7 linked regions of the Xenopus tropicalis genome follow. The protein of the gene in region 5 binds, or shares a complex with, the protein of the main gene of each other region. Links are inferred from orthologs where the notes say so. Each region holds a gene or a part of one and is shown on either strand. Other genes may lie near its edges. The genes, in order: med13l, med25, med7, med18, med16, med12 and med26.

Region 1 (3,965 bases), about 45 Mb from region 5:
ACTAGCCTGTCTGTTCTACCATGATACAGTAGTAATACAACTTACTGGTTTCCTTTCTACTCCAAAGATGTGCCGTCTTGGTGAGCACAGGCCAATCTGTAAAGTGCTTAGTGATGGGATCATGAAGATTAGCCAGCCTGCAGGTGACAGTGAAGAAACGTCTTGTGAGGAGATGGATAACCAAGCAAGGCTCCAGCTATTTGCACAGACCTGCCGCCAGCATCTTGGTGAGCCAGATAACTTCCCATCTGCATACTGCACCAGATTTAGTTTTTGTCCATTATTCTTTATTTTTTTGATAAAACAGTTTGTGAGGTTCTCTCGCTGTTTTCCAACCCACTGTAAAAACCAGCTTGATCTTTGTTTTAATAATGGTCCAGGTTATTTATTTTTTTAGAGGTGTGGGGCTGTAAAAACCAGCTTGATCTTTGTTTTAATAATGGTCCAGGTTATTTATTTTTTTTTAGAGGTGTGGGGCAGAGGCTGGTTTCAGGCAATTTGAGTGCCATGTTATATATAGGCAACAAAAACCTGACAAGCACTTGTGAGGTGATTCAAATACAATTACAGTTTTGGGACCGGTTATCCAGAATGCTTGGGACCTGGGGTTTTCAGCATAAGGGGTCTTTCTGTAACTTAGATTTGTACTAAAAAAATAATTTAAACATTATTTAAACCCACCAATATGGATTAATAATTAGTCGCTATCAAGTACAAGGTACTGTACATTAAAAATTTTTAACTATTTGCTTAAAATGGAGTCTATGGGAGACTGCCTTCCCGTAAATCTGAGCTTTCTGAATAACAGGTTTCCAGATAACTCTGATCCCATACCTGCACCTTGTAACAGTATATGTGTTTGTTAATATAATGCCACAGAATACCGATCACCTTTTTTCTCTAATATTTAGAAAGGATATTTCTGACCTTTTGCCGCTCACCATCAGCAGGTGATGGAGGGGAAAGGGGGTTGAGTTTGACTAAAGGTGTGAACCACTCTCACTCCACCATGTGATAATGTAAAAAAAATTTTTGTCGGTGGGCTGACTCCTTAACATTATGCCATTTGTTATACTATTGTGAACTAGCACATTAAGCAAAAGTGGACCGTTTGTAGTTTGTTAAAATAAAGTACTGTGGGCAAATTCATTGCTTCTTTTTCAGCGTTTTGGATAATGGGTTTCTGAATAATAGATCCCATAGTTGTAATTTGTAGTTACTATAACTCTTTTAATAAACACGAGAGGAAAATAAAAAGTCACAATTGCTGTTTATTATATGCGCTGTACAAAAGGGATTAGCTGGAACCTTACATTGATGTTATGACATGGATGTGTAAGTTTTGCTAATGCCCATTGTCTTTTTCTGTTTTAGCTCCTTACTTATCCACATTGCAACTAGACAGCAGCCTGTTATTACCTCCTAAGAACCAGCCACCTACGGTACAAACCAGCTCAAGCCCAGCTGTGCCGTCTTGTCCTACTGGTGTTCTTTTTAACACCACTCCTAATGGCACAAGTACTACTCCTTTACCACCACCACCTCTATCCTCCTCCACATCTCTTCCTGCTGGAAACAGCACAGTACCCACTGGGTTCAATAACTGCCCATCACAGAACACTTCAAGTATTGTGGAGCGACCATTAGGAAACCAGACCACAGGAGACCCAGAGCCTAGCCAGCAGTCCATGCAGCAAGAGACCCCAGAAAAGTAAGTACAGATGCTGTATTAAAATGAAATTAAATATTTGACTTCTTGCCCAACACAACAGCAGTTATATGAAAAACCTGGTAGTCAGTTCTTAGAAGGGGATATGGAAAACAAAAAAAGAAGCTTTGTAAGAACTGTAAAAATGTACTTTTGAAACTGGGTGAGAGAACACTGACATTTCCACTGCAGTCAGTAAGTCAGACAATTCACTCCTGTACCTAGAGATTCATACACATTAGGCATCACTAAATTATTGCTGACATATATATGCATGTTTATGTGTCTTCACTTTGGGCCTGATTAGCAGTAGCAGCAAAAAGCTTTTAAGGCTTTCTATGCAGTATCCCACATGACTCCAAAGACAGTAGCATGTTTCAGCAGAAATTGCCCTTATCCTTTCCCGCTTAGATTACTGCAATCTCCTACTAACTTGCCTCCCAGACTCCCACCTCTCTCCCCTGCAATCAATCTTAAACTCTGCTGCCAGGATCCTTCTGCTCTCTCCAAAGAGGGAACCTGTTCAGCCTCACTTAAGCTCTCTTGCATGGCTGCCTGTTAAGCAAAGGATTGCTTACAAAATCCTAACATTCAAAGCCCTTCACTCCTTTGCTCCTCGCTACATTTCTTCACTGGTCTCCCTGCATGTTCCTGGTCGTCACCTCCGCTCCTCTCAGAGCCTCCGTCTTTTTACACCATTCACACCCACTGCGCTCTCTCGTCTTAAACCTTTCTGTCTTGCTGCTCCTTACCTCTGGAACTCTATCCCTGAATCCCTCCATAGGGAACTCTCACCCACTCTCTTTAAGAAAAAGCTCAGCTGTTACCTTCTGGAGCACTAAAACATTTTGCCTAGTCCTGCGCTTAAGGGAAAATGCCCATACCTGGTGCACTCTTACCTTCCAATTTGTGCTTGTATGTTACCCAACCACTTAGATTGTAAGCTCTACGGGGCAGGTACCTCCTTCCTACTGTGTCTCATACCACATGGCACTTATTCCCTGTGCATTTATATATTTATTGTATTTATTTATTATATCACTTGTCCTCCTTCTGTGTAATTCTGTGTATTGTAAGATTGTACAGCGCTGCGTACCCTTTTGGGTCTTTATAAATAAAGTTATACATACATACATGTATTCGTTTTTAGTATTTTTGTATTGCTTATTTTTTCTTTTATATGCACTGTAAATAGACTTTTTTAATAATAATATTAGTAAAATCCTGTCAAATATTTTTATGATTCAAAGGATATTTTGCTTTGTTTAATTTAGAAGGATTTTTAAACATATAATATACAGCTTGTATTGTCTCTTTTACATTAACAGTGCCACTGAGCGGGAGAAAATTGGCATTCCCACAGAACCAGAACCAGCTGGAGCACTCAGTTCTTGTCCAACAGTAGTTATATACATGGTGGATCCATTTACATACACAGTGGATGAAGACTGCCACCCTGGGAACTACTGGATGCTTGGCCTGATCAGATGTTTTACTGACATGCTGGAGAGTTTACCAGAGCCACTTCGATCAGCTTGCATACTTCAGGTAAACATTGTTTGTTTTTTATGTGTGTTACCATAACCTTTATGTGCTTTTCACATAGAGCTTTTATAAGACTTTTCTCAAGACTTGAATCGCGCTTGCTTGCAGTGACACTTATAATATAGGGGGGTGGTGGCAAAGAAATGATTATTATTTAAAAGATCTGTATACAGTGGCACCCATATTGTACGGCAACTTTGTCGACATTTTACTATTTTCCCAGGCAACTGTCAGCAGACATAGACACGCAGATGTGTCGAGTAAAACTGTTCGTATTGTACTCTACTGCTCATGCATGAGTCTAAGTTTGTGCCAGGGACACCTGGGAATAGCAAGTAAAATGGTGGAGCTTTGCTACTTTTTTCCCTGGGCTGGTGCTTCTCTTATTTTTCCTAAAAAGAGCACTAGCCTGGGGAAAAAACTTACTGACTGAATTCACTTGGGGGTCTACCATAAATGTTTAGCATCCTTGTATTTAATTAAAAATTTGTGGTCATCAACAATATCTTACCCTACTCTCTTTTTCAGGTGGTTCCCTGCCATTCTCTTCTGCAGACTGTAAATGATGAAGTGGTCTCCTACATTCAGCACTTGAAGTCTTTAGCTTTTTCTGTATACTGCCAGTGCCGGCGACCCATAGCCACACAAATACCCATCAAGCCTCTCACTGGCTTTGGTCCAGCAGCCGCTCTAAATGCAATACTCAGGAATC
Region 2 (3,264 bases), on a different chromosome or scaffold from region 5:
GTTTCCAAAATATATATAAAAATGCATCATCCAGGGAGAGGGAGAGAATCCCCCATGAGTAAATGCCACATGTTCCACAGCTGTTTCCTCACAATAGTGGCAATGGGGGTTATGTTACAAAAGGTGCTACGTTTGCCCATGAGCAGTAACCTATAGCAACCAATCAGCGGGCAGAATTTACTGGTTACCTGTTAAAGGCAAACATCATATTGGTTGCTATGGGTTACTGTGCCTGGCCAAACTTAGTGCTTTTTCTTTCTTGTCTGTAAAAAAAATGTTGTTCTGGTCCAAGGCGTGAACATTTGAGCAAGTCACTAAGACAGAACCATTGTACAAGAACTAAATATCCATTTCGTTGTTCTGTTTTACAGCCACAGACCAGTGTCCCACAAACACAGCAGCCTTTGCACCATATGCAGCAAGCGGCTCAGGGCATGCTTCCCCATCAGGCCATGGGCCAACAGATGCAGCACCAGGCTCCCGGCCAGCAGCAACTCCAACTCCCGGGGCAAACACTTATGCACCAAGCCCCCGCGCAGCAATGGGGGAACCAGATGCAACAGAGAGCACCAATTCCAGGTGAGGAGGTTTCACACCAGGGGAAACGGCAGTAGCAAGAGTGGCAATAATTGGTCCAGGCAGGTCACTTCACACTGTTGCCCACTCACAGTTTGCATTGCCCTTTAAACAGACACCCTGAGAAATTCATTTACAGCAGGCTAGGGGTTTTATGATCCCCAAGGAGTGGCTCAGGGGCAACATTTTGCTCCCCAACCCCTTGGATGTTGCTCTCAGTGCCCCCTGACTTGGGGGCAAGTTTTGGTTGAATAAAAACAAGCTTTCCTACCAAATAAAGCCCCCTGTAAGCTGATAGGGTGCATAGAGGCTGCCTAATAGCCAATCACAGCCCTTATTTGACTCCTCCATGAACTTTTATGGTGCTTGTGTTGCTTTTCACGTCTGTTTACATTTGACTGTGGCTCACAACAACAGTTGAGGACCACTGGCCTATACTAATACTTGTATCTTATTTTGATCCTTATATCATCTCATCGTTGGGAGGTATACATATAGGATTCTATTTTCTTCATCTCCTTGTTTCATTTTGTACAACACAAAGTAAATCCTGCAGGTCTGACCACTTTAAAAGCTTCCTGTATATATTACCCATCATTCTTTGTGAACCCACCATTGACCATACTGTACAGGTGTTCTAGATTATATAAGTGACCGAGAAACACCCTAACCTGAGGTCTTTATCATTAATTAGTGCTTTTTAAATGATAAATAAACCTTTATAAAATAAGTAAATGTAAAATTATTCTAAGCACTTTTGCAATTTACATTAATTTTTTTATTCCAAGATATTAAGGGAAATGTGTACTGTTAATACAAATGAATTTTGCAACAAAGGCACCACCTGTTGGTCAGTTTCCGACCATGATGTCACCAAGGAAGTTGTCAGGCGAAAGAAAGAGGGCTGCTCTGATGTTCTTCTGCTTAGGAAAGGTCATCTGAGGTTTCTAATGATTTTCCTAAGCAGAAGAACATCAAACCAACCCCTCTTTCTTTCTCCTGACAACTTTCTTGACTGGATCATGGACAGAAACTGACCAGTAGGTGGTGCTGTGTAACAAAATTCATTTATATTGACATTAATGTTTGGTTTCAAAAAGGTAAATGATACCTGCTGGATGGCTGTTGTGGGTAACTATCAGACTTTGGGGCATATTTATTATAGTGTATTGGCTTATACACTATAAAAATAATCCCCTTAGTGTAGACTTGCAAGACATTTATTTCATTGTGCTGCATATTTCACAGGGAATTTCCTTCATAAACCTTCAGGAATTGGCCTGAATGGTCATTGTGTGCATTCCGTTGCTATGGTATTACTATAAAACAATCCCTATCATACTAAGGTATAAAGGTTCAGAAGCCTGAAGCAGTCTGTTTGACACTTGTGCTTTGTTTTTCTGCTTTAGGGACACTGATGATGAGCGCGGGACCTCGAGGCCCTGTCCCTCAGCAAGGCCTACAGCAAGTGCAGGCTCAGAGTGTCATGGAAGACGACATCCTAATGGACCTTATTTGAGGATAAGCTAAGGAAATGAGACTCTACTGCCTCCAAAATGATATGAATCCTGCAGGATTTTTCTGAATTCATCAGCTATGAATCACCTCTTGTCATTTCCTCGCCTTCTTGATTTATTAACCGACAGTAGCCTAAATAGGAATTCATAGGGCGTGTTCAGACTCATCTGGTCAGAGTCGCTAAACTGTTGAAAGCTGCTTGGCCTCCTGGTTCCTGTGTCGGCAGTTTGGTCCCCATACAGGTGGGTATAGAACTCTATCCTCACTGGTGCTTATATTTACCGGTGGGATTGGTCCCTGTTTCCAGGAAGTCACGGACAACTAACTGAACTGCTTCAGTTTTGACCATTGTTGACTCACACGTCCTTTTTACAACACGTAGCAGACTTTTCTTTTGTTATATTGTAAAATGAGCTTTTACAGGTATAAAATAAGATATGCCATGAAAAAAAAAAATAAAAAAACGTTTTAGAAAATCCATTGTGGTCATTTTAGCCCATAGTGAAGTATCGCTCCAGTAAGTCGTCTCACAGTGTATGGGAGGGTACTGCCTGGGGTTATGGATTACAATCAATACAAGAAATGAAAGGGATATACAATATTGCTAGTTACCTAGCTGTCTGAAACATATGTATGTAACACAGGGCAATATTTTATCTGCATGTGTGGTCGACTGGTATTCTACTGCTGTCATAGTTAATGTGCCAAGAAGCCACCACTCTGTTGTGCATTTATTGATACCGAAGAGCCAGAAATCTTATCCTAAAGCAGTTTTCTGCCTTCCCTGGATTCTGCACGTCTTTTAAAAGGAAGCTTCAGTGCCATAAAGCGTGAGTTAATCGCTGTGATTGGACAAGTATATTTACCTCTTTAATGAAGATCGAACTGGAGGGTTCCAACCTGGTACAGACCAACTGTTTCACAGACTTGTTTGTATGATGTCTCTATTGCCTAGCCTTATGGTATCTCTGTGTACAGGATATGTTAATACCTAGGGAGTTGCCATATATGACCGTGTACAGCTGCCCATGGCTCATTGACCATCAGATCCACCCTATCCTGGCTTCTACCAATCATAAAACCAACCAAAGACCGGAGTAGAGAGGATGAACAAATTTGTCCACAAACCCCATGGTTGGTTTGTTGGTTTGTTGGTTGGTTGGTTAGTTA
Region 3 (3,699 bases), on a different chromosome or scaffold from region 5:
ATCTGTATGGCTGTAAAGTAAATGACAATACTGTCTGCTATATAGCCGTATAGCTTATATGTGTATATACAACACGTTGTGTATGCCTGCCTGCTATAGGCAAAGCCTGGGGGTCATAGTCATTAATAATATATATATACACAGAGAGGCGCACACCCTTCACAAAACCAGATGCCCTGGGTGCAGGTAAAACATAGAATATAAAGAAAGGGTAATGCACACACTGTGCTCAAAAAGTTGGATTTTTTTCAATAAACACTTTTTTTCTTGGCATTAAGTCCCTGTGTGTGCAGTATACATATATATATATATATATATATATATATATAATACCTTTCGGTCCACACTCCCATTAAACACACTTACTCCATACTTGATTGCAGGGTGCTGCACCTGGTTGTAGCTTGTATTCATTACAATTGATGATGCGCACTCCTGTATTTTTTTTAGTTCATTTATTGTTACATTATAAAGTTAAAAACATCAACGTTTCGGACCAGGTCTAGGACCTTTATCAAGATGTTAAGCCATAAAAAGTCACACACATAATGAGTCTTTATATAATACAAAATGCCTAACCCCGCCCACATTGAGCAGAGCCCCAACCCCAAATTGTGAATTAAAGAAAACACATCAGTACAATTAATTAATTGTAATAGTGTTTATTAATTGTACTGATATGTTTTCTTTAATTCACAATTTGTGTATTTTATTACATTAACATTTATTTATAAAGCGCCAACATATTCCGCAGCGCTGTACAATAAGTGGGTTACATACATTGGACATACAGAGTAACATATAAAGCAATCAATAACCAATACAAGAGGTGAAGAGAGCCCTGCCCAAAAGAGCTTACAATCTACAAGGAGAAAGGGTTGAGACACAAGGTGTGGGAATGGGCATGGCCAGAGTTGTGAGAGGTGTGGCACAGGGTATTGCTAAACTAGATTAGGGTAAGCCTCTCTAAATAAGTGTGTTTTTAGAGATCTCTTGAAGGCAGAGAGATTGGGAGAAAGTCTGACAGTTTGTGGGAGCGAATTCCAGAGAAGGGGGGCAGCCCTTGCAAAGTCTTGAATGCGAGCGTGTGAGGAGGGAATGAGAGAGGAGTTGAGGAGCAGGTCAGTATGTGCTATACAGGATACCTCGTTTCGTACGATAATCGGTGCGTGTATGGCATGTCGGCGAGTCGACCGATATCGCAGGAATCTGCTGATATCGGCCGACTCGCCGATCGGACCAGTTTGAAAATTTTGATCGGGCGCCATAGAAGGCGCCTGACCAAAATTCTCCCTTCAGAGCTGAATCGGCAGAAGGAGGTAAAAATCCTATTGTTTCTACCTTCTTACCTGCCGATTCAGCCTTGAAAGGTGTGTGGCGGATCTGACAATGTTTCGTGCGACCGATGGTCGTACGAAACATCGTCAGATCGCCACGTGTATGGCCAGCTTAAGGGTTGTGAAATGGGGTTGGGGCTATGCTCAATGTGGGCGGGGTTAGGCATTTTGTATTATATAAAGACTCATTATGTGTGTGACTTTTTATGGCTTAACATCTTGATAAAGGTCCTAGACCTGGACCGAAACGTTGATGTTTTTAACTTTATAATGTAACAATAAATGAACTAAAAAAATACAGGAGTGCGCATCATCAATTGGAATGCATATATATATATATATGTGCTGCACACACAGGGATTTATATTGTTATTTGTATGTAACTGAATGGGCTTTTTCTTTCTGTGTCACAGGTTCTCCTACTCACTTCATAATGGGGGAGCCTCAGCAGGTCAGCGCTTTGCCTATACCTCCCATGCAGTACATTAAGGAGTACACAGATGAAAACATCCGCAAGGGCCTGGCCCCCAAGCCTCCCCTCCCCATAAAGGACAGCTACATGATGTTTGGCAACCAGTTTCAGTGTGATGACCTTATTATCCGCCCTCTGGAAACTCAGGGCATCGAGAGGCTCCACCCCATGCAGTTCGACCATAAGAAGGAGCTGAGGAAGCTCCTTATGTCCATCCTGGTCAACTTTCTGGATATGTTGGACATCCTGATCCGAAGCCCAGGCAGCATCCGAAGGGAGGAGAAACTGGAGGACCTAAAGTTGTTATTTGTTCACATGCACCACCTTATTAATGAGTACAGGCCCCACCAGGCACGTGAGACCCTGCGGGTGATGATGGAGGTGCAGAAACGTCAGCGGCTGGAAACGGCAGAGAGGTTCCAGAAACATCTAGAGCGAGTGGTGGAGATGATCCAGAACTGTCTGGCATCGCTACCCAATGACCTCCCTCTTTCTGATGGCGCAGTCAGTGTAAAAACTGAACCAATGGATGTTCGGGAACCCTGTACGGACCATCATGCGGGGCCCCAGGAGGCAGCAGCAGCTTCTCTGAAAGAGACCACAATTGATAAGGATGCAGCTATGTGTGTTATCATCGATGAAATGACCTAGTCCAATAAGCAGTTCTAATCAGGACTCTTGAACTTTAGAAGTCACAAGGATTCATTGAAATGCAATAGCATGGCTCTATGTGTTGGTTGTATTCATCATGGGACTTGGCAAGGAAAATGTTTGTCCCAAGGGAACTCAGTCACAGCTATTGCTCATGTACATGTCTGTTTATTGTGCTTTTCTGCCATGCTTTTGAAAAGGCAGTATGCAAGAAGGCTAATATTTTTCAGTGTTTTCCCTGCCAGTTCATGTGTATGAGGAATGGAAGGTTGTAGTTCTGCAACACCTGGGTGGTAACTGCTTATTTGTGATTAAACAGACAAAGGACTGGGGTCAGACTTTTGAATGTTATCTAACTGATATACTATGTATGGAATCTACTCATTGCAAGTTATGTTTGTACAGTTATTCACATGTTCTGAGATATCAAAGTTTATTTAAAAGTTAATATTACAATTGTTTGTATCTTTTTCTCTCTGAATTGGAATATTTTAGTCTCAGATTGGTTTGGAGCATGAAAATCCCAAAATGGGTGCTGTTATCTGTTATAGGAGAAGTCCATATTTTGAAATGCTCGCCTTTACAGTTTATCATGTTTATTTACTTTAATATTTGTATTACTGCATTATAGTTTTAACCCTCTGTCACTTCTAGCATCTTTCCTATTAATTATCCACCTCCATTAAGGATGCTGTGTGCATTCACATTACATGCAAGCTTTCTATCTCCCCTGTGTCAGCCTTTGTGACAAAGCAAGGGTTAAATGACTGTGCTTAGGTTGGGATCAAATTCATGAATGGTAGCAATGAATATACATTTTATCATGATAGGAGGATGCTATGCTGCACTGTAAATAACAACACACTGTGAGCACTAAGGTGCAGGGACAAGAGCTGCTATACAGAAACAAAAACATGAGTACCAGGATCTGTGCATTTACAACATTCCATCCTCATTCTGATTGGTAGAATGGATATGTTTAAGTAAGCTCCACCCTGCAGTCTACAGATGCTGGCCAAAATATTTGGAAGGTAAACTTGTTGGCTGCCCCAGCCAGTTGTTATTTTCAGAAGGGTGGTGCTGTGGGCACCTAGGCCTTATTTCCTAAGGAGGTTGGTGAGATTACAGGAATCCCCATCAGTTGCAGGACAGGTGGCACTTACCAGCCTCTTTCTCATGGTCAGACCCCTGTACCTGTAGAAAAAAAAATACAACAAAAGGAGGAGGGCTGTGAAGCAA
Region 4 (4,198 bases), on a different chromosome or scaffold from region 5:
CTTAAAAAAGGAGAAAAGGCACAGGTTACACAGCAGAAAAGATAAACTCTGTAGAATACAATGGCATTTTATCTGTTATCCGCTAAGTAACCTGGGCCTTTTCTCATTCAAATGGCTGCCCCCATGGCTACACAGCAGCTTTGTTTATATAAACTATAATAGTCTTTCTGAGGCAAACCCACCAGTTACACCAGTGCAGGGTAACAGTACATTATATTGTTATTGCTTTTATACGCTTTCATATTTTGAGGTTACTGTTCCTTTAATAACACTACTTGTTAACTCAAATACTTCTTGCCAGTACTTTTGTATTTTAGGGCAGTTCCACCAGGTGTGCACGAGTCCCTTCCTGTCCACATTTTCTCCAGCACATTTTAGTGGCTGTTTGTGAGACTATTCTTTAATTTTTCATGCATACACCCATTTATTTTACAATGCTGTGGAATATGTAGTTGTTTTATTAATACATGCAATAATTATAACAATTTAAAAAACATGACATTAAGTATGATTTAGTATATATTTTTTTATTTTTTTTACACGTTCTGACCTATATCTGTGTACACTAGACATTTGTTGGTACATTAGTTGGGCAGGTTTGCTAATTTAATATAACAACACACCATATCCACCAGTGCTGGGTGCATCAACTGATAAATTAGTGAATAAGAGCTGCAGCTCCTGTTATTGCTGTCCCAAACAAACAGAACAACAGAAAGTTGCACATGCCCTGGACAGTATGTATGTGTTCAGATACTGCATTGCATTGACATGTCTATGGTCACACTAAGCCATGATGTACACACCCAGCTATTTCAACAACACCAGAAAAGGCTCTCTATTCCTGCTTTAGAGTCATTTCTAGTTATCTGAAAATACTAAAGTTCATACTCTATGTAAATAGAATAGGTTGGCAAAATGTTTTGTATAAGGATTTCATCCACTTACAAATAAGTTTTATTGCAGAGAAACCAGTTTTCTCGAGCAGGTGTATGTATTTCTTTTTATAGTGCCTGTGCCCCAGGGTAAAAATAGCTTTACAACAGAAAGGTACATAATAAATCAAACAAATAAGTAAATGCACATACATATTACCTTACAAATGATTTCTAGAATCTTGTAGGTGGAAGAACACAATTTTGATATCTGCAGAAAGCTTATTGATTGATGCATCTGATTTTGTAAATAATTTAGAAGTTCAAAAAATGTTAAACTGTGAAAGATCAACTTTTATAGCCACTCATGCAGCACCCGTTTTTTTTGTATCACAAGTTAAAGGGGCAATCTAGTTAATGTATTTAAATAGGCAAGGAAAGGTTAATTCACTGGAGGTGCCAATATGTTGGGGCTCCTAGTGTATTAAATAGGTAAATTTGTTTTAACTCACCAACCCCCATATGTAAGAAGAGGCACTCGGTAGCTCAGGAGCAGTAACCCATAGAAAGCAATAAGATGTTTGCTTTTAATCGGGTAACCAGTATATTCTACCTGCTGATTGGTTGCCTTTCCACCGGCAGCAATAGGAGTCGCCAGGTGGAAAAGTCTATGCATCACTTCAGCTTTCCAAAGTCGCACAAAGTTGCCTGCAGGATGTGTAGCCTTAAGGTTCTTTTCCCACCTTGCTCCTTCAAATCTATTTATCCTTTTTTGCACCTTTCTGTACAACATTATTTCTATAGGTACATTTTTTACCAAAACTCTCCTGACACCTAACCTCTCATTCTGAAACCAAGGGTGTTAGTATAGTATCAAAGGTTGGTTTTCTCTGCTTTATTCAAATAGCTGTAACTCATTTTAATAAGTTAACCTCTCTGCTACATTGCCACCCAGCTACTAGAATGGCTAGAATTTGACTCCTAAAAAGAATTTGCACTTTAAATTCCAGCAGCGACCCCTGTCACAGAAGCAAGAGCACTTGTTTGTATTATGACTGCAAAGCTCAGAAGGATAGCAGGCAATTACATGGTGGTACAAACCAGCAATGCTGTCTGGTTACAGGGTTCTGCTGGAATTTCAAGTGTTAAGATGCTATTTGGGCTGTGCCATTGGCACCCTTGGACTTTAGACTGAAGCTGACAGTTGAAGTACAAAGGATAAGAAGTGGTGGCATGTTTTCTGGCAATTAAAAAAGATACGTTTTTCTTTTGTTCAATTTTATAATGTGCTAAATGCAATGTCGCAAAGTTGTTTCTGTCCATTTATTTCCCATTTAAACTGCCACAGGGTAGGCAGCACAGTCAAGAATGTCATCATACCTTGGTTTGCTTTTATGTATGTATGTATGTATTTACATACATTTTACTGGAACTAGGGGCCCTAGTCCTAAAAAACAGCCCCAGACCATTGTTCCTCCACCAAACTTTTATAGTAGGTATTATGAATTATTGCAGAAAGCATTTAATTGGTATTCACCAAACAAAGACCTGTTGGTCAGATTGCCAGATTACCAGAGGTAAACTGCAAATTGAGAATTAGTTTCCACTGCTCCAGTAGCATTGAATCCTAAACCATATAGCCAAAACTTTCCATGGTTTTGCCATTAACAAAACAGTTTTTCTTGCTTAATCACTTTTTGGAAGCCTAATTAACTTTAGCAGTAACTGTTATCACATATTAAAGCCTTTAATTTTTTTTTTTTCAGGTAGTATTCTTGACCAGGGTCTAGAGAGCCTCCTCCATCGTTTACGTGGTTTATGTGACAATATGGAACCTGAGACATTTGCAGATCATGAGAGTGTCTACCTTCTCAAGGGTCAGCAGGCCAGCCCCTTTGTGCTACGAGCACGTCGCCCTTTGGATCGGCCAGGTGCTCCATGGCACCTTAGGTATCTGGGTCAGCCTGAGGCTGGAGACAGAAGCCGCCACACGCTAGTGCGTAATTGTGTTGACATTGCCACCTCAGATGTTCTTCCTGAATTTCTGCAGGAGATGGGCTTTCGTATGGACCATGAGTTTGTGGCACGCGGCCACTTGTTCAGGAAAGGGGTTATGAAGGTGGCAGTGTACAAGGTGTTTCGGGTGTTGGTAGCAGGAGCAGCAGAGGGTGCTGAACCCTTGTCACTTTCATACCTTGTAGAGCTTAGTGCAGTGGCGCCAGCTGGTCAAGACAATATAGCTGATGAAGTCAGGGGGTTTGCAGAACAGCTCAGACCACTCGTGCAGCTGGAGAAAATAGACCCTAAACGTCTGATGTAAAGGGGACATTCCAAAAAACAAGACTCAAGATTGTGTGTTTCTGGTGAAAACCGTTTACACTGCCATAATTCATTGGTTTTTCTCATGAGCTGAGATGGCATGAAATTCCTCTTGACTGTAAAGGGACCAATGTCAAGTTCTGCTGGTTTCATTGTGACACAGAACAGCATCTGCCACTGTATTGTGCAGACCAGAAATAGAATGATCTGTTTTATTATTAAATTTGTTTTATTTTTCCTGTTGTGTTCAGTATTGTCCTCCTGACCTGCAAATTTAAAACATTTTTACACATATTTACTTTGAAAGATCCATGTAATTTTTAGCTTTTTTTACTTATCATTTTTTCAGGCACTCCCCTATTGATCTCCCATTCTGATAGTCAAACTGCTGCCTGGTTGCTAGGGTAGTTAAGCTCTAGTAACCAGATAGCAATTGAATTTCAAAGCATGAGAGTTGCAAAAAAAATAAAAAATTAAGTCTGTCACATTGTACTTGAAAGCGGATATCTACATAATAATTTTTAGGTCTATGGCACATGTTGGGATTAGTTGCCTGCGATAAATCTGCTCTACCCTGTGGTGACTAATCTTCTGAAATAGCTTTCCCATTGACAATAATGTAGATTCTCTTGCAATCATACACACAGCTGCTAAGCTTGAGTTGCCTGTTACGGTTTATGATGTTACCAATTTATTATTACTTAAAGGAGAAGGAAAGGCAAAGTCACTTGGGGGTGCCAAAATGTTAGGCACCCCCAAGTGACCTTGTACCCCGGGCTGGTGCCCCTGTTGCTGCAGCACTTCCTGCTTCGCGCGCGCATGCGCAGTAGAGTGAAAAAGCTGAACTTAAACAGAGAAGTCGCTTTTCACTCTACTGTGCATGCGCCCGGCCCTTGGAATTTGCCGGCAAAACGAAGCAGGAAGGAGGAAGCGCTCGCTACAGGTACCCTGGGCTGGTGCTGTTTTCTCTTAACAGGGGCACCAGCCTGGGGTACAAGGTAAGC
Region 5 (4,593 bases):
CCGCGCAAGGAATTTAAGGTGCGTCACAGCTGGGAACTTGTCCTTGCGTGCAGGGTCAGTTGTACAGCGCATAAAGAGAGAAGGAAGTATCTCTGTGTCGATTTTGCACTTTTCACTTACTACAGAAACACAAACTTTGTAGAACTGTACTGGGGATGTGCTGCTCCCATCACATGTGGCCACAACAATGTTTCCACCACCAGTAAATGCAATGTCTGCAAGTGCCACACGACAACGTAGTCGGCACAGGCTTTCTGTAGCTGTTAGCACCTGTCCATTGGGCTTTAGCAGAGACACTGTAACTAAACCACTGACTGTGACTGCAATCCAACCCTCCATTGGCTTTCCACCAAACAAAGTAAGAGATGGGGAAAACTTCACGCGTGAGAACTTTTCTCCAAAACTGGAAACACCAGACTGCAGGAGAAAAAAGATCAGTATTAAGGGTGGTAAATGCCTACTTAAAGGGAAATAATGGTTAGGGGACAAAAGAAATAATGGTCTCTGCTTAACAACAAAAAGGATAAGCAAAGTGAAGTGAAGTGAAAGAAAAGAGCATACAAACAACTAAATATAAATACTAATGTAAATATTCATTGTTATCTCACCCACCTTCTCAACATGGAGAGCAAGTTTGACTCCATTGTGCAACCAAGACAGAGCTACTATGGGATCTCCATCCACTTCGCTGCCTACAAGACTCTGCCAGCTGTTTGCTAAGTGATCAGTCATTCCCCAGCATTTGATTCGACCATCTGCATCAGCTGAGAGCAGGCGGGAACCTAAAAATACCAATAAAACCAAAGCAACAGTTACAAACACTACTGTCTATGTCCCTTCAAGGATTCATTTTCTGCTTCCCACATTTATCTTGTTTCTTCATATTTCCCTTTGCTCTCTGCCCTTCCCTTTTAAGTTATATGGTTTTCTTGTTTATTATCAAAAAGCCCAGCAATTTGTTTTACTGTACCAGATTGGTCCCACTCCAAGCTGGTAATAACTTCCTGGTGCCCAGAGTTAATAGAGTAGACATCCCACGGATGTTCTGTGTCGAGGATATGGATCAAATTAGTGATATCTGAGAAGAAAAAAAATCAAGTTATTTCAGATTTATCCATATTCCTGTAAAAACACTTTTTAATTTATCAAAACCCTGGAAAACAAACAATCTGGTGAGAATTATGCAATGTTGCAACTCTCCATGGTCAAATTATACTTGCTTTAACGAATAAGAATATATTCAATGAGAGCATAAAATATATACTTAAATTTGTGCATTGTAAAACGCCTGATTTTGAGTACAGTTGAACTTTTTAGAAAGATAATAGAAGACAGATGAACTCTTTGCACTTCAATGTAAATTTCATAAGGTAAATGAATGGGGGTGGGAAGGAGGGCTAACTACAGCCAATTGTTTAGCATTTTTTCAGTAACAAGCACTTTTCTTACAGCTCACACGACCCAACTATTGTGAGAGAATACACACTTCTTCACTTAACATTCTAGTAGGCAGCTCTGGACTGAGATTTAAAATAGGCCCTAGCATTTTCAGCACACAAAAGCTCAAATAGCCCCCAACTAGCGCTCTACTACACAGTCACTGTCTATGGCATCTTTCAGCAGTCCCTCTGGCATTTGCCAGAACCCACAGACTGGCAGTCTGAGCCTGCTGGCAGGGATTATTTACTAAGGGGGGGTAAGGTGCAGAATTTTTTTTCCCCACAATACAAAGTGGCACAGAATGACATTAAATAAAAAGTAGAATTTATTGCAGTAACACATTCCTGGGTCTGAATTTGTGCACCTAGGTCTCAAGCTGCCACGCTTCCACTACAAGCAATACTTTCTATTTTTATATTGGTGCAAGGCATTGTGTCTCAACCCTTTCTCCTTGTAGATTGTAAGCTCTTTTGGGCAGGGCCCTCTTCACCTCTTGTATCGGTTATTGATTGCTTTATATGTTACTCTGTATGTCCAATGTATGTAACCCACTTATTGTACATCGCTGCAGAATATGTTGGCGCTTTATAAATAAATGTTAATGTAATGTAAAAGGCATTGCCTAACCGTAATGTGTATGCCTATAGATTCAGATGCTTTAATTTTTTATCTGCGTCTATGCATCTATCTGCATTCTATGCATTCTAGTGACCCAAATACCCTTAATATACTAACCTAGTTCATTTTAAACATGGTAATATAAAAATGTAATCCAAGCAATCCAAGCTCTTTGGTAAGACCAGCTTTGGACTGGGAACCCAGGGACCCACAAGAAAACCTTAGACCCACTTTCCAAATTATTTGTCCTCCTTCCCCACCCAACCACTTTATTCTCCAAGTCTCTTTTATTTACATAGCATCTATTCTTCCATCTAATTCTTGACTTTCTTCCCATTCAGAAATAGGGAATGACCATGAAACAGGCCAAATGATCAGGAGCAGGAGACTGACACCTGGGCCCACCATGAGTTCTCCTGGTATCCAGTCCAACACTGGGTAAGACTCATTTTGGTTTGTCTTTTAATTGTTTTATGCATTATAGATAGAGAGAGAAAAGTAGACATATAACAGTTACTAAATAATAGAAATACACACACATATAATCACACTCACAGAGCGGTGCTGTAATAACAAAAAGATGTTACCTTTCTCCTCCTCATTGCGCTGATCTGTAGTGAAAGCAATAAGATTGCGGCAAGACCAAGCGCAAACTAGTGGGATTGATGGGCAGTGACTGGTCCGTGGTCTTTTGTCCCACTCACATACGTACCCCACATCCATGCTGACAGCAAACACGCACCTACTAACTATGGGAGAAGGGCTACAGATCGGGGGAACAGAAACACAATGGCTTACATTGGGAATGGACTGACTGACTGCAGCTATAAGAAACGAAGGCGGACGACAAGAAGCGTCAAAAAGCGAAAATATGCTAGAACCTTGCGTAGGGGATTTGCTACTAAACTGCTCTGGTTACTGCTGGTTCCAGAATCCCGTAGGATAACAAGGTTCTACGTAAAACCAGTAATGAAAGTTCCCGGCTACATTAGTGCGTCTCACGGAATAAGCGTCTCAATGTCGCTTTCCGATGGCGTCATCCTTAGATTAGCATGCCGACCTCTCCCGGCGTGCATCGTGGCAAATGCCTAAATTGCAGCTATAAATTCAATCTTTCTCTTCTGTTTTTCATGTACCCAGTAAATAAAACAATATCAAGTAATATTTATTGCTGCTCGGTGTAAATATACATATAGACATACAAAATTGTCACTCCAATATAACCGAATCAAAAGCTAGGGGCTTTAAATAAGAACCGGCGCTAAGGTATGTTTGTGCTCGCTTCGGCAGCACATATACTAAAATTGGAACGATACAGAGAAGATTAGCATGGCCCCTGCGCAAGGATGACACGCAAATTCGTGAAGCGTTCCATATTTTGCACTTATCTTATCAAATGGATATTGGAGTGAAAAACAAACCATGTATATTTATATATATATATATGTATTTAGTTTGTTTTTCACTCCAGATGAAGGCTTCTGTGTGAGACCCAATCGTTGAGTAATAAACCTTTCTATTTTTACATTTACATTTTGCTCACACTTTACTTTGGAAATAAATGTAATTTGGGACTATTTTAATTTAATATATATATATTCTCCACTCATCTAATAAAAAATGTGTATTTGTGAACAGTGTGTGTGTTTGTGTATATATATATATATATATATATATATAGATTTACACACACACAGGATTATGATTTAAAAACTAAAAATCTTTAGTTCCCCCCTTTATTATGCTGTGAAGATGGTTTCTTCCTACAGTCAGTGGTGTAACTATAGAGGAAGCAGACACCATGGTTGGGGGGGGGGCACCAGGGGCAGCCTGGACCATAGGGTCTGGTTCCTCTATAGCAGGGGTGGGCAAACTATGGCCCGCTGTCTCCGGCCCCCTTAAAAGAATGACGGGCCCTGATTGGTTGCGCCCCATGCATGCGCATAGCGTCAGCACACACGGGGCGCAACCATATAAAAGAATGCACTGGGGAGCCGGGGAACAGAAGGACGGGACGGAGGAAGCAGCGGGTCGCTGGCGGAGGGAGCCGCAGGTCATGAAGGATGCTGGGGGGGAGCTGAGAGGCCCCATAATTTTTGATGGCAGCCCCGGGCGTAACGCTGTCCCGGCCCGGTCCGGCCCGTCTGTTAGTCAATGTGGCCCCTGACCCAAAAAGTTTGCCCACCCCTGCTCTATAGTCACTCTCATTGATAAAGTTAAGGGTGCCCGCTGCTTAATATTTGCCAGGGTGGTGGCCAGGTACCTGTGTGCGCCAGACCCCTCCAAAAAATGATTGTGGAAATGTGAAATATGGCAAAATCAGGGAATGTAAAAGTGAGATTTCACTGTGTCTCATCCCACTTGTTGTGGGATGAGATACACAGTGTATCTACAAAGAAGTCAATGGAGATATTGAGCAGACCATGGGTTGTAAAAATCCCTTGCAGGGCCACAGATTTTTCTTAAGAAGAGACGGTATCAATGTAATTGTTTTCCTCACATTATTTTTCATTATACTATAGTTACTTTTTTATT
Region 6 (3,965 bases), on a different chromosome or scaffold from region 5:
TCAGCTGCCAGAGTTCCGTTGATCAGAACACTGAGCATGTCTAGGACAGTCGTGAAGAGCTCGCTGCAAAGCAACATAAAGATGAGATTACAAACAGCTGATGATGAGTAGTCATATACAATACATGGTACTGAATGTCAATTTGTTGGTGTCACATATAAATATGACCCACCTCACTGCTGGCTACTTGCTTATCAATGGGCATTGGCTGGCAACCTTTAGTGCTGCCAACTGGTGCACACCATGGGAAAGCAGCCGGATTTTTAAATAAAACAGCACAAAGGGTAACTTTAAAAGGTTCTTTCCTCCTTTACTGAACAAGAGGGAAAGGGTACATCAATGGGGGTACTTTTCAGTGAGCACTGCTAACAGAAGCACTGACCTGTGGATTTGAGTAAGCTACTGTAATTTCAATAAGGGTGCCTAACATTTGGACACACCCCAATGATTAACCCTTTCCTTCTCCTTTAAGAGGTATAAAAATGCAATGTCAAATTGATACTCTATGCCTGCTTTAATCACAGGATTTATAGTTTATAGAGGGATTGGCTAGGATTTGTCACTGAATTCTGATTTTTCCCTAACAAAACAGCCTGATTAGCAAAATCCTGATTTTTTTTTTCTTTTTTTAGCTATTTAAATCTAAGGCTAAGGAAGAGAAAACAAACTGATTATGGGAATCAGTGGGCAAAGCAAACAAGTACAGATGAAGAGGCACAAAGAGTGTGTATACGTTACTTGTTTGACTGCATATCCACTGTACCACTGCTGATAATGTCCAGCAGAAGAACAGCCCATTCAGTGGTTTGCTGAGTGCTGCGCTGAACTGTATCAAACATCCCACCAACCTAGAAAGGAAATTGAGGACAGGGAAGATGTCAGTAATAAAGGATAAATTCACCTGCATTTTCCGCTGCATTCTTGTAGGGACTTCTATTGCTAAGAAACATAATTCATTTATCACACTTCATCCTCTGCTTTATATTTCTTTCTCTTACTTACCAGGTTAAGCCTCAGTTTCAATACATCATGCAGCAGCTGAGGAGTTTTGCAGTCGTCCTGATACTGATCTTCCCGCCAGTTGCTAACAATCTGAAGTGGGAGGGTTTGGATTTAAAAGGACAGTGATTCAAAAGCAATTCAAATGTATGAAGGTTAAAAGCTGTGGAAAAAGTGATAGTGGGTGGTGTTGGTAAGAGAAAAACATAAAGGGACTGTTACCCAACCTACCTGTTGCACCTGGCCATAGAGTGATGTCAGAAGCCCCTCCCGCTGCTCATCCTGTCCCTTTAGGCAGGTCAATACCAGTGACAAAAATGGCTGCTGACTTAGCAAGGACATACTGCAAGGCACAGACATAAGAATATATAACACAAGCAACATAAGGAAAAGGAAACAACCTCAGCCTTTTATCAGGTGACTGAACAAACATTTCCTATACATTCATATCACCCTTACGTATTGCTCTCAATAAGAACTCCCCAACTGGTCTTCCTTTGCCATTCACAATCTACTCACCTTTTCTGCTTCTGACGGTCACGTTCCTTGCGAGAAGAAGATCCTAGGTGTTGGCCCTTCTCTAGCTCCTCCCCTGCTGCTTTTAGCACATGACCTTGAACTGATGTAGGCAGCTTTGCAATGAGAGGGGCCACAAGCCAAGCCCCAGACCGCTCTAAAGAACTGCATTGACAAGGATTTTTTAGTTATTGCTAATGAATAATATGAAAGGTAAACAAAGCCATAGAGTAATAGACCACAACAGAAGCATCACTTGCCTGAGTACTGGTTTTGTCTTGCTGTTGGGAGGAGCGTTGCTGGAGGTAGCATTGCTCAGGGCAGCACTATTGGCGGGGGCTGCGCAGGCATTCTCGGCCGATTGCTGGAATACTTCAATTGTGGCTTTAGCAATATTTTCTAATAAAGAATTCATTTCCTGTTGGTAACAATCAAGATTTAGACATTAATTGCCCAAGTGCAGTTGCTGTGTCCCCCAAGAATAGGGAAAAAAACATTCACAGTTCCTCAGATATTATGGGTAACACTAGTGTATAAGATATTGCCCAACATCACACATTCTTGGCTAAAACTTTAGTTGTCACAGCAAATTTTTGATCAGCACCTTTAAGACAATATATTTGATATTTGGTGCAAGTCACATAACACCCACATCCATCTGATCATCCAATATTCTTTGACCAGACAGTACCAATGAGGCAATATCTTCTTAAAAGCCTTTATTGAAGTAACGGTTCCCTGACCTGGGCACTAGCAATTTTTCAGACCAACACCAGTCTTTTTCCAAGCTACTGAAAGCTGCTTATGACCATATATTAATACTGTGTACAGTGTTTACACAGCAACCTCTATTGGTGAAATATTATATTGCAAGCCACTGATTGTGAAACAAGTATGGATGCAAATGTTTCCATTGCAATGTGTTACATTTTTAAAATAAAATTGCTTTTACAAACTTTTGGTCAATTCATAAAAAGTTTTTGAAAGCAAAGAAACATTATTTTTAAAATGTAACAGATTGTGGCTAAGTGATACTATGTCAAAGTCATAGTTCATTGTGTCACATGTTCCACTGACAAAGTATAGCCATAAAAAAATTATTTAAAAAAAACTTGCAAATACTATGTTCCCCATAGGCCCCTAACAGAATGACACTCCTTACATTGCTTGGTGTCTGTTTAATCATTAGCTGCAATTCCAGTGCTGACTGACGCATTGTCCACTGATCCAGGTTCTGTTGGGAAAAATAAAAATAAGGTTCAACTGTGCAAGGAATTAAAGGTGAATGGCAGCAAAAGATGCAGGAACAACAGGAATGAGAACAGAATAAATACAGGGTTCTCTGGTTATCCCTTTACCATGAATAAAACAGAAGCACAATTTCTCTATCCTTTATTTTTGTGCTCAGTATCGTTTGGTTTCTGTTATATTACCTTAGATCCATACTCACCTGCAAGATGTGTTTGATTCGCTGCCTCTGTGGATTATCTCCCTGCTCGGTATCATTCAGTCTGTGTGGGTAACAGATAAGCTGCATGAGGCGCTGAGCCTGAGCACTGCTCAGAACAGGGTCCTGTAGATCATTAGAGTCCTCGCACAGGGAACGCACACAGCGCTCTCCAACCCATTCCTGCAACAAAAATATAATTAACAAGATTCACTAAAAGAAGTTTTTAGCTCATTTTCTAACATAAGGCACTAGCACATTTTGTTTTCCCTGGTTTTCCAAATAGCAAATTATTTCTGTTCTCTGGGTAGGGGAGTTCATCTCCAGTTAAGTACGGGGCATCTCTAGCACAATCCTGGCCACAAGCCAGGAACTGGAACTTAAAGCCAAACTTAAATTGGGTTGGGCAGATCCTATCTTAAGTTTTGTAAAATCCTACCAGGCCAGGCTTGGCTTCATGCACTGTGAACATAGCATAATGTGAGAATTTCTAGTACGGAGAATTACAGACTGGCTAGAAAGTCTCACATTATGCTATGTCCACAGTGCATGAAGCCAAGCCTGGCTTGGTAGGATTTTACAAAACTTTAGCTAGGATCTACTTACCTGTTTGTTTTTATTTTCTGGTACGGAGAATTACAAACAGGTAAGTAGATCCTAGCTAAAGTTTTGTAAAATCCTACCAGGCCAGGCTTGGCTTCATGCACTGTGGACATAGCATAATGTGAGACTTTCTAGCCAGTCTGTAATTCTCCGTACCAGAAAATAAAGGAACAAACAGGTAAGTAACCATTCATCTGAAAGGCCCGCCATTCAGCAAGACTGAAAACGGCTGCCCCAATTACCAACACCACACATGGGCTGAATTTTTGGAATAGCCTGGGGGGGCCACAGGTTCAGATATAAGTGCAACCATTTTGAAAGCCATGGATAGGTAGAAAGTATTTATTAGGGCAGATTGACGGTGAGGTCAGAATTTTATAGCTGTAAAATGTGTTACTCA
Region 7 (4,601 bases), about 11 Mb from region 5:
AGTCTCATCCAAACCACTCCCTGGATGCTAAGGTAAATTGGACCTTAGCAACCAAATAGCTGCTGCAACTCCAACCTGGAGAGCTCCTAAACTAAAAATGTAATAACTAAAGAACTACAAATAAAAAAAAAAAATTAAGACCAATTGCAAATTGTCTCAGAATATCACTCTACATCATATTAAAAGTTAACTTAACTGTGAAAAACCCCTTTAAGAAACAGCATAAAAGCATAACCCATACCATAGGTATGAACAGGTCACCTAGGTGCCTCATAAGCTATAAGGAAAAAAAAAAGTAAGCCATAAGCAATGCCTCTATACAGAAAAAAATCCAAACACAAAACAGCATGCTTGTTCTCAAAAAGCATGAACAAGTAACATCTCATCTTTCAGTTATTCTATGGGTTTAAAATAAAAAAAAAAAACAAAAAAAACTCTTAACTGTGACAGTTTATAATAATTTTATGGTGTAGTGTACAGTGTCTTTCGGATTAACAGATTCTTCATTTAGAACCCGTTATTCTAAAACATGTTGTGCACTACACAATAACATCATATGAGATTCATAAGGAGTTCTCCAGTGAAAATGCAAAAACATTAAAAGGGTCAAAGTAGCAACCAGGGTTAAAAATTGCTGAACAATTCTGCAGGCTAACAAACTGATTACAATAGGGCTACTACTATACCTAAAGCCAAAGGTGTAGCGATTTACTGATTTTTTTCCCGAACACTCCCAAAAGTGGTTACTGAAAGAAAGGAACAACACTTACAAGTACCTTCCTCTAATGCATCTATCAAAGAGCCCTAGCTCTGTACTGCTCAGCACCTTTAGTTGTTATTTTTCACACCTGTGTAATACAGCGCAATAAATATTTAACTATTTGTGAGATATTAAAAAATTACAAATCAATTCTAATATAAAGCATACCCAACCTAAACAATATATGCTTTTCTGGAAACCAGGATCCTTTATCACAGTTGCCTAAATCTATTTTTACATGTGCTTTTGTTTACCTACAGCTTAAAAATTCCCATGCAGACACAGGCCTTTCAAAAGTACAGCTACCAAATACAGACTTTCAGAAGGTATGTGTCAGCATTAAAGACACAAATTAATTCAGTATGTACATACCCATGTGTCCCTCACCCCAAAATAACTTTGAGATGCTTCTGGCATTAAAAGGTCCAAATCCTTTCTAAATGTACAAGCTGTATATCTCCAGTGATACAGGAAATACACATGTATTTAAAGCTATAACTGAAAGTAGGTTTTCAGCAATAGATTATTATCAATTTAATAGTAGTGTTCACTCTTTATAGTAAAGGCTTCAGTAAAAAAAACCCTCAAACTTCAGAAGTTGTTTACAAAGAGATTATGCTTTATAGATACATGTTAATAATGGTTACAAATCTTATCCTGCAATGTACTTCAAACTTTTGCTACATAAGTGCTTTGCAGAATTAAACTCTATAGGTGCCGACGCATCCTGCCAATGCTAAAATAAGTATCAAGAGAAGATAGAAAGTGCAGTAGATTATATACTGTAAACAACAGTGAAAGCTTTTACAAATTTGAGACATACCAATAAATTGTATTGCTGACTGCAAATTACTTGGCCTTCTAATTTGTGGGAGTTGTTACACCTCAAATATAACAGCACATACAACAACAGGTCTGTATATAATGCAGTTATAAATGCCATACACTTCAGTCAAAGATAAATCGGTCACATAAGGACCCATGACAAATCTCTAAATGAAATACAATAAATAGCATTCTGAACTTTCCCTGTTCTGTTTCTTTGAGAACAGATCTCTCAGTTTAACAAGCACACCGCCTGCCCACACCAGAGTAATGCCAACAACATGAGATAAATGCACCCTGTCCCCACAAGCACACATCTGCACTGCCAGGAACATAAGAATATGCCAAAGGAGTGTGTTTTGGCAGTCCCACCGACTCGGGCATCGCAAGCCTAGCCAGCAGTCTGACATGTGCCGGTGCCTACAAGGGCAGTCTGCTAACTTAAGGCCGCGACTAGGCCCTATCCCCGACCTCGCCTACAAAGTAAGGACGGATGTGCTCGAATATACAGAGTCGGATTAAGAACGCGAGATGGCCTAAAACAAGCGCCAGGGGTCCCTGCTACAAAGGACTGCAACCCCAGATAAACGCCGGGACCCATAATCCTCCATTCCCCAGTTGCCCACTTCCTGCTCAGCTCTCAGGCTTTATACTCGTCTCTCACCTACCCACAGAGAAGGGGCTCTCAACTAGCTGTTCCTATCGAGCTCTGCCTTACCTATAGCACTCCACTGTGGGCTTCTCAGCTCCCGGCATGGTCAGTGCCACTGCCTCCACCACCCTAAGGCTCTTGCACGTTCTGGCTCCAGGGGACTCGGTCTTTCCCAGCCTCATGTGACCCTCAACTAATAACCTGGAGCCAAAAAGTGCATTCCAGAGTAACGACACCTCTCTTTTCCCCAGCCCTTAGCCACCAACCACCCATAATCAAGGGATAGTGTCACAGCAGCCTCCAGTCACTCTCCGTCAGCCCTTTCCCGGTCGTCCCTAGTCTAGCTTCTCACTGCTGGTTCAGAGGGTTTCATCAAGTGCCGAAACCCCGTGTTGCGCTCTTTCCACTCCCTGTCCCCCCTGACTCACGTTGCTTTGCGTATCGATGGCCTGCAGCAGCCTCTCCCTGATCTCCCGCGGGGTTACCGGAGCGGCTGTCATGGCCTCAGTCCGGGGATCACTGCGGAGGGCGGCGCGGCATGTTCCCTGGGAGGAAGGAACACGAGTTCCCGGGCGCAGGGAGAGCAGCGAAGAAGCGAGAAAGCCGGAGACTCCCAGACGCGTCTCTCCCGATGGAGTCGAGCGACCGGGAGTCCCGAGGCACGCCGGGAAGTCCGCCGCTGCACGCTTTGTGACGTGACGGTAGCGGCGTCCTGGCGTCACAGTCCCCCTAGGTAGCACGTACGTCACGCACGAACGTCTCTCATCTTCCCCCTCAGTAGGAAGTGTCAGACACGACTTAAAGCTGTCATTCGTCTTCGGTATCCATGGAGAGAGGGGGCAGCCCGTGCGCCTGCTAGCCTTTAGGCACCTGAGTTGTTACTAGGCAAGATGCATCACTTAAAATAAACACTGTTGTCTACCCTGCAACTTTTGTGCAGTAGACTATAAGCCTAGCTGGAAGGAGGGGCTTATTTAACTACATCACCTCAGTCAGCGACACTGAAACAGAGCGACCCGTGGGTCGTTATGAACTACTATGGAACTCTTTGTGGAATTCTGGGAGTTGTAGTTCATAAGTCATACGAGTAAGTTTGCAGGAAAAAGAATCGAACGTTTGTTTAGAAAAGTTAGCTAGAAGTGCTACACATATTGCCATATATTCAAGTGAAATCAGGTTACACTTATTTCAGCCCTGCAACCTGCATATGTTAGAATTGTCTGGGTTTTGTTTTATTTAGTTTGTCTTGTAACCTTATCTCAGAGACAAAGGTTAGATTCAGAAAATATGGAGAGGCAGACGTTCTACGTAGCCCTCTAAAACATATTCATTACCAGTTTTTTCATTCTCTACTGAGTTCCAAACTGTCTCTGGAACCTATATCAGTACAAGAAATATTAGTAGCTGCACACAAGCTAAATATCACCATGTAGAGTGCCATGCATTGCCAGTTGTTGTGTAAAGCTGTATAACACTGGACAGCAGGGAGCTGGAAATGGGTTCTCTGAAATGATGAATCATCTTCACATATGGCAGTCAAGCAGTCATTTCTGGGGTGGTGGGTTCCAGACAACTTAGTTTGGTGTAGGACTAGTGATCAGGGGATAATTATTGTTTTGGGTTAGTATTCTTGGTTTCAACAAGGAGACATTAGCGCTATAGTGTACAATGGTATTCGTGGATATCGTTGATGCACAGGTGGTCAAAATAAAATTGGTAAGCTTCCCATCTGCATAAAACTTGGTTTTTGTGTTTGGGTCTTAAAAACTTATTGATGTATGAATATTGAAAAAATGCAATATATTAAGGTAGAACTCACCAACAGTTTCTTGAGGTCCGGGTGCTCAAGCCCCAGACCTTCAGCTCAGGGGAAGTGATAGACACACTTGGATTTCAAATAAGGCTGGCATAAGACTGGACTGTTGAAGCAGATGGTGATGCAGTTAAAATGATGAATTTATGTAGTAACAAGACCTCTCAAAAGGACACGTCTTACACGTTTGGTGCCTTATGGGGCACTTAATCATAGGCTAATGATTAAGTGCCCCATAAGGTACAAAATGCATACGGCTTGTCCTTTTGAGAGGTCTTGTTACTAAATAAATTCATCATTTTTAACTGCATCACCATCTGCTTCAAAAATCCGGTTTTGTGCCAGTCTATTTAGGATTCCAAGTGTCTCTTAAGTACTGTCACTGTCTGCTGAATTGAGAAGTGCCAACCATGTAGGAAGATCTGCACCACCAGTGTAGGAGTTTAGAAAGAAGTGTAAAAGGTATGGCAATAACTTGCGTTGAAATACTGTGTTTGGTGGATGCCAGATGAAGTGCCTGTTTATATAATGTTAAGTCAGTTTGGTGGTGG

The links.
Region 1: med16 (region 5) and med13l share a complex: the UniProt entries of both Homo sapiens proteins name them as parts of the mediator complex. The link is inferred for Xenopus tropicalis from reciprocal best matches to the Homo sapiens genes MED16 and MED13L.
Region 2: the proteins of med16 (region 5) and med25 are in contact, whole or in part, in a cryo-EM structure (PDB 7EMF), measured with the Homo sapiens proteins. The link is inferred for Xenopus tropicalis from reciprocal best matches to the Homo sapiens genes MED16 and MED25. Residues at the interface, in NP_005472.2 of Homo sapiens: Cys41, Arg42, Ser92, Ser94, His113, Arg161, Lys163, Phe171, Gly172, Gly173, Lys174, Pro195, Gly485, Tyr486, Ala516, Ala517, Gln520, Val521, Thr524, Arg525, Ile554, Ala555, Ser558, Lys561, Ser562, Leu563, Leu564, Arg565, Pro566, His567; in NP_112235.2 of Homo sapiens: Ala26, Asn27, Gly29, Pro30, Tyr31, Val74, Asp75, Cys76, Ala77, Pro78, Glu79, Val82, Cys84, His85, Pro87, Lys102, Phe103, Met104, Gly105, Gly106, Gly107, Gly108, Glu109, Thr120, Gln123, Leu124, Asp127, Phe128, Tyr151, Leu152.
Region 3: med16 (region 5) and med7 share a complex: the UniProt entries of both Homo sapiens proteins name them as parts of the mediator complex. The link is inferred for Xenopus tropicalis from reciprocal best matches to the Homo sapiens genes MED16 and MED7.
Region 4: med16 (region 5) and med18 share a complex: the UniProt entries of both Homo sapiens proteins name them as parts of the mediator complex. The link is inferred for Xenopus tropicalis from reciprocal best matches to the Homo sapiens genes MED16 and MED18.
Region 6: med16 (region 5) and med12 share a complex: the UniProt entries of both Homo sapiens proteins name them as parts of the mediator complex. The link is inferred for Xenopus tropicalis from reciprocal best matches to the Homo sapiens genes MED16 and MED12.
Region 7: med16 (region 5) and med26 share a complex: the UniProt entries of both Homo sapiens proteins name them as parts of the mediator complex. The link is inferred for Xenopus tropicalis from reciprocal best matches to the Homo sapiens genes MED16 and MED26.

Annotation. Positions count from the first base shown.
Region 1 is NC_030677.2:145,408,273-145,412,237, forward strand, and holds part of med13l (mediator of RNA polymerase II transcription subunit 13-like), read left to right. Parts: intron 1-67; coding exon 68-227; intron 228-1,374; coding exon 1,375-1,711; intron 1,712-3,036; coding exon 3,037-3,256; intron 3,257-3,781; coding exon 3,782-3,965. UniProt on the Homo sapiens protein: Component of the Mediator complex, a coactivator involved in the regulated transcription of nearly all RNA polymerase II-dependent genes.
Region 2 is NC_030683.2:117,441,701-117,444,964, reverse strand, and holds the end of med25 (mediator of RNA polymerase II transcription subunit 25), read left to right. Parts: intron 1-371; coding exon 372-579; intron 580-1,985; coding exon 1,986-2,095; 3' UTR 2,096-2,570; downstream 2,571-3,264. UniProt on the Homo sapiens protein: Component of the Mediator complex, a coactivator involved in the regulated transcription of nearly all RNA polymerase II-dependent genes.
Region 3 is NC_030679.2:14,183,752-14,187,450, forward strand, and holds med7 (mediator of RNA polymerase II transcription subunit 7), read left to right. Parts: upstream 1-1,739; 5' UTR 1,740-1,770; coding exon 1,771-2,460; 3' UTR 2,461-3,107; downstream 3,108-3,699. UniProt on the Homo sapiens protein: Component of the Mediator complex, a coactivator involved in the regulated transcription of nearly all RNA polymerase II-dependent genes.
Region 4 is NC_030678.2:78,270,552-78,274,749, forward strand, and holds the end of med18 (mediator of RNA polymerase II transcription subunit 18), read left to right. Parts: intron 1-2,641; coding exon 2,642-3,195; 3' UTR 3,196-3,432; downstream 3,433-4,198. UniProt on the Homo sapiens protein: Component of the Mediator complex, a coactivator involved in the regulated transcription of nearly all RNA polymerase II-dependent genes.
Region 5 is NC_030677.2:100,791,734-100,796,326, reverse strand, and holds the start of med16 (mediator of RNA polymerase II transcription subunit 16), read right to left. Parts: upstream 3,094-4,593; 5' UTR 2,782-3,093; coding exon 2,646-2,781; intron 1,079-2,645; coding exon 971-1,078; intron 783-970; coding exon 613-782; intron 418-612; coding exon 1-417. UniProt on the Homo sapiens protein: Component of the Mediator complex, a coactivator involved in the regulated transcription of nearly all RNA polymerase II-dependent genes.
Region 6 is NC_030684.2:44,419,858-44,423,822, reverse strand, and holds part of med12 (mediator of RNA polymerase II transcription subunit 12), read right to left. Parts: intron 3,146-3,965; coding exon 2,966-3,145; intron 2,750-2,965; coding exon 2,678-2,749; intron 1,934-2,677; coding exon 1,776-1,933; intron 1,681-1,775; coding exon 1,519-1,680; intron 1,343-1,518; coding exon 1,231-1,342; intron 1,093-1,230; coding exon 1,003-1,092; intron 849-1,002; coding exon 739-848; intron 64-738; coding exon 1-63. UniProt on the Homo sapiens protein: Component of the Mediator complex, a coactivator involved in the regulated transcription of nearly all RNA polymerase II-dependent genes.
Region 7 is NC_030677.2:112,238,821-112,243,421, reverse strand, and holds the start of med26 (mediator of RNA polymerase II transcription subunit 26), read right to left. Parts: upstream 2,883-4,601; 5' UTR 2,738-2,882; coding exon 2,666-2,737; intron 1-2,665. UniProt on the Homo sapiens protein: Component of the Mediator complex, a coactivator involved in the regulated transcription of nearly all RNA polymerase II-dependent genes.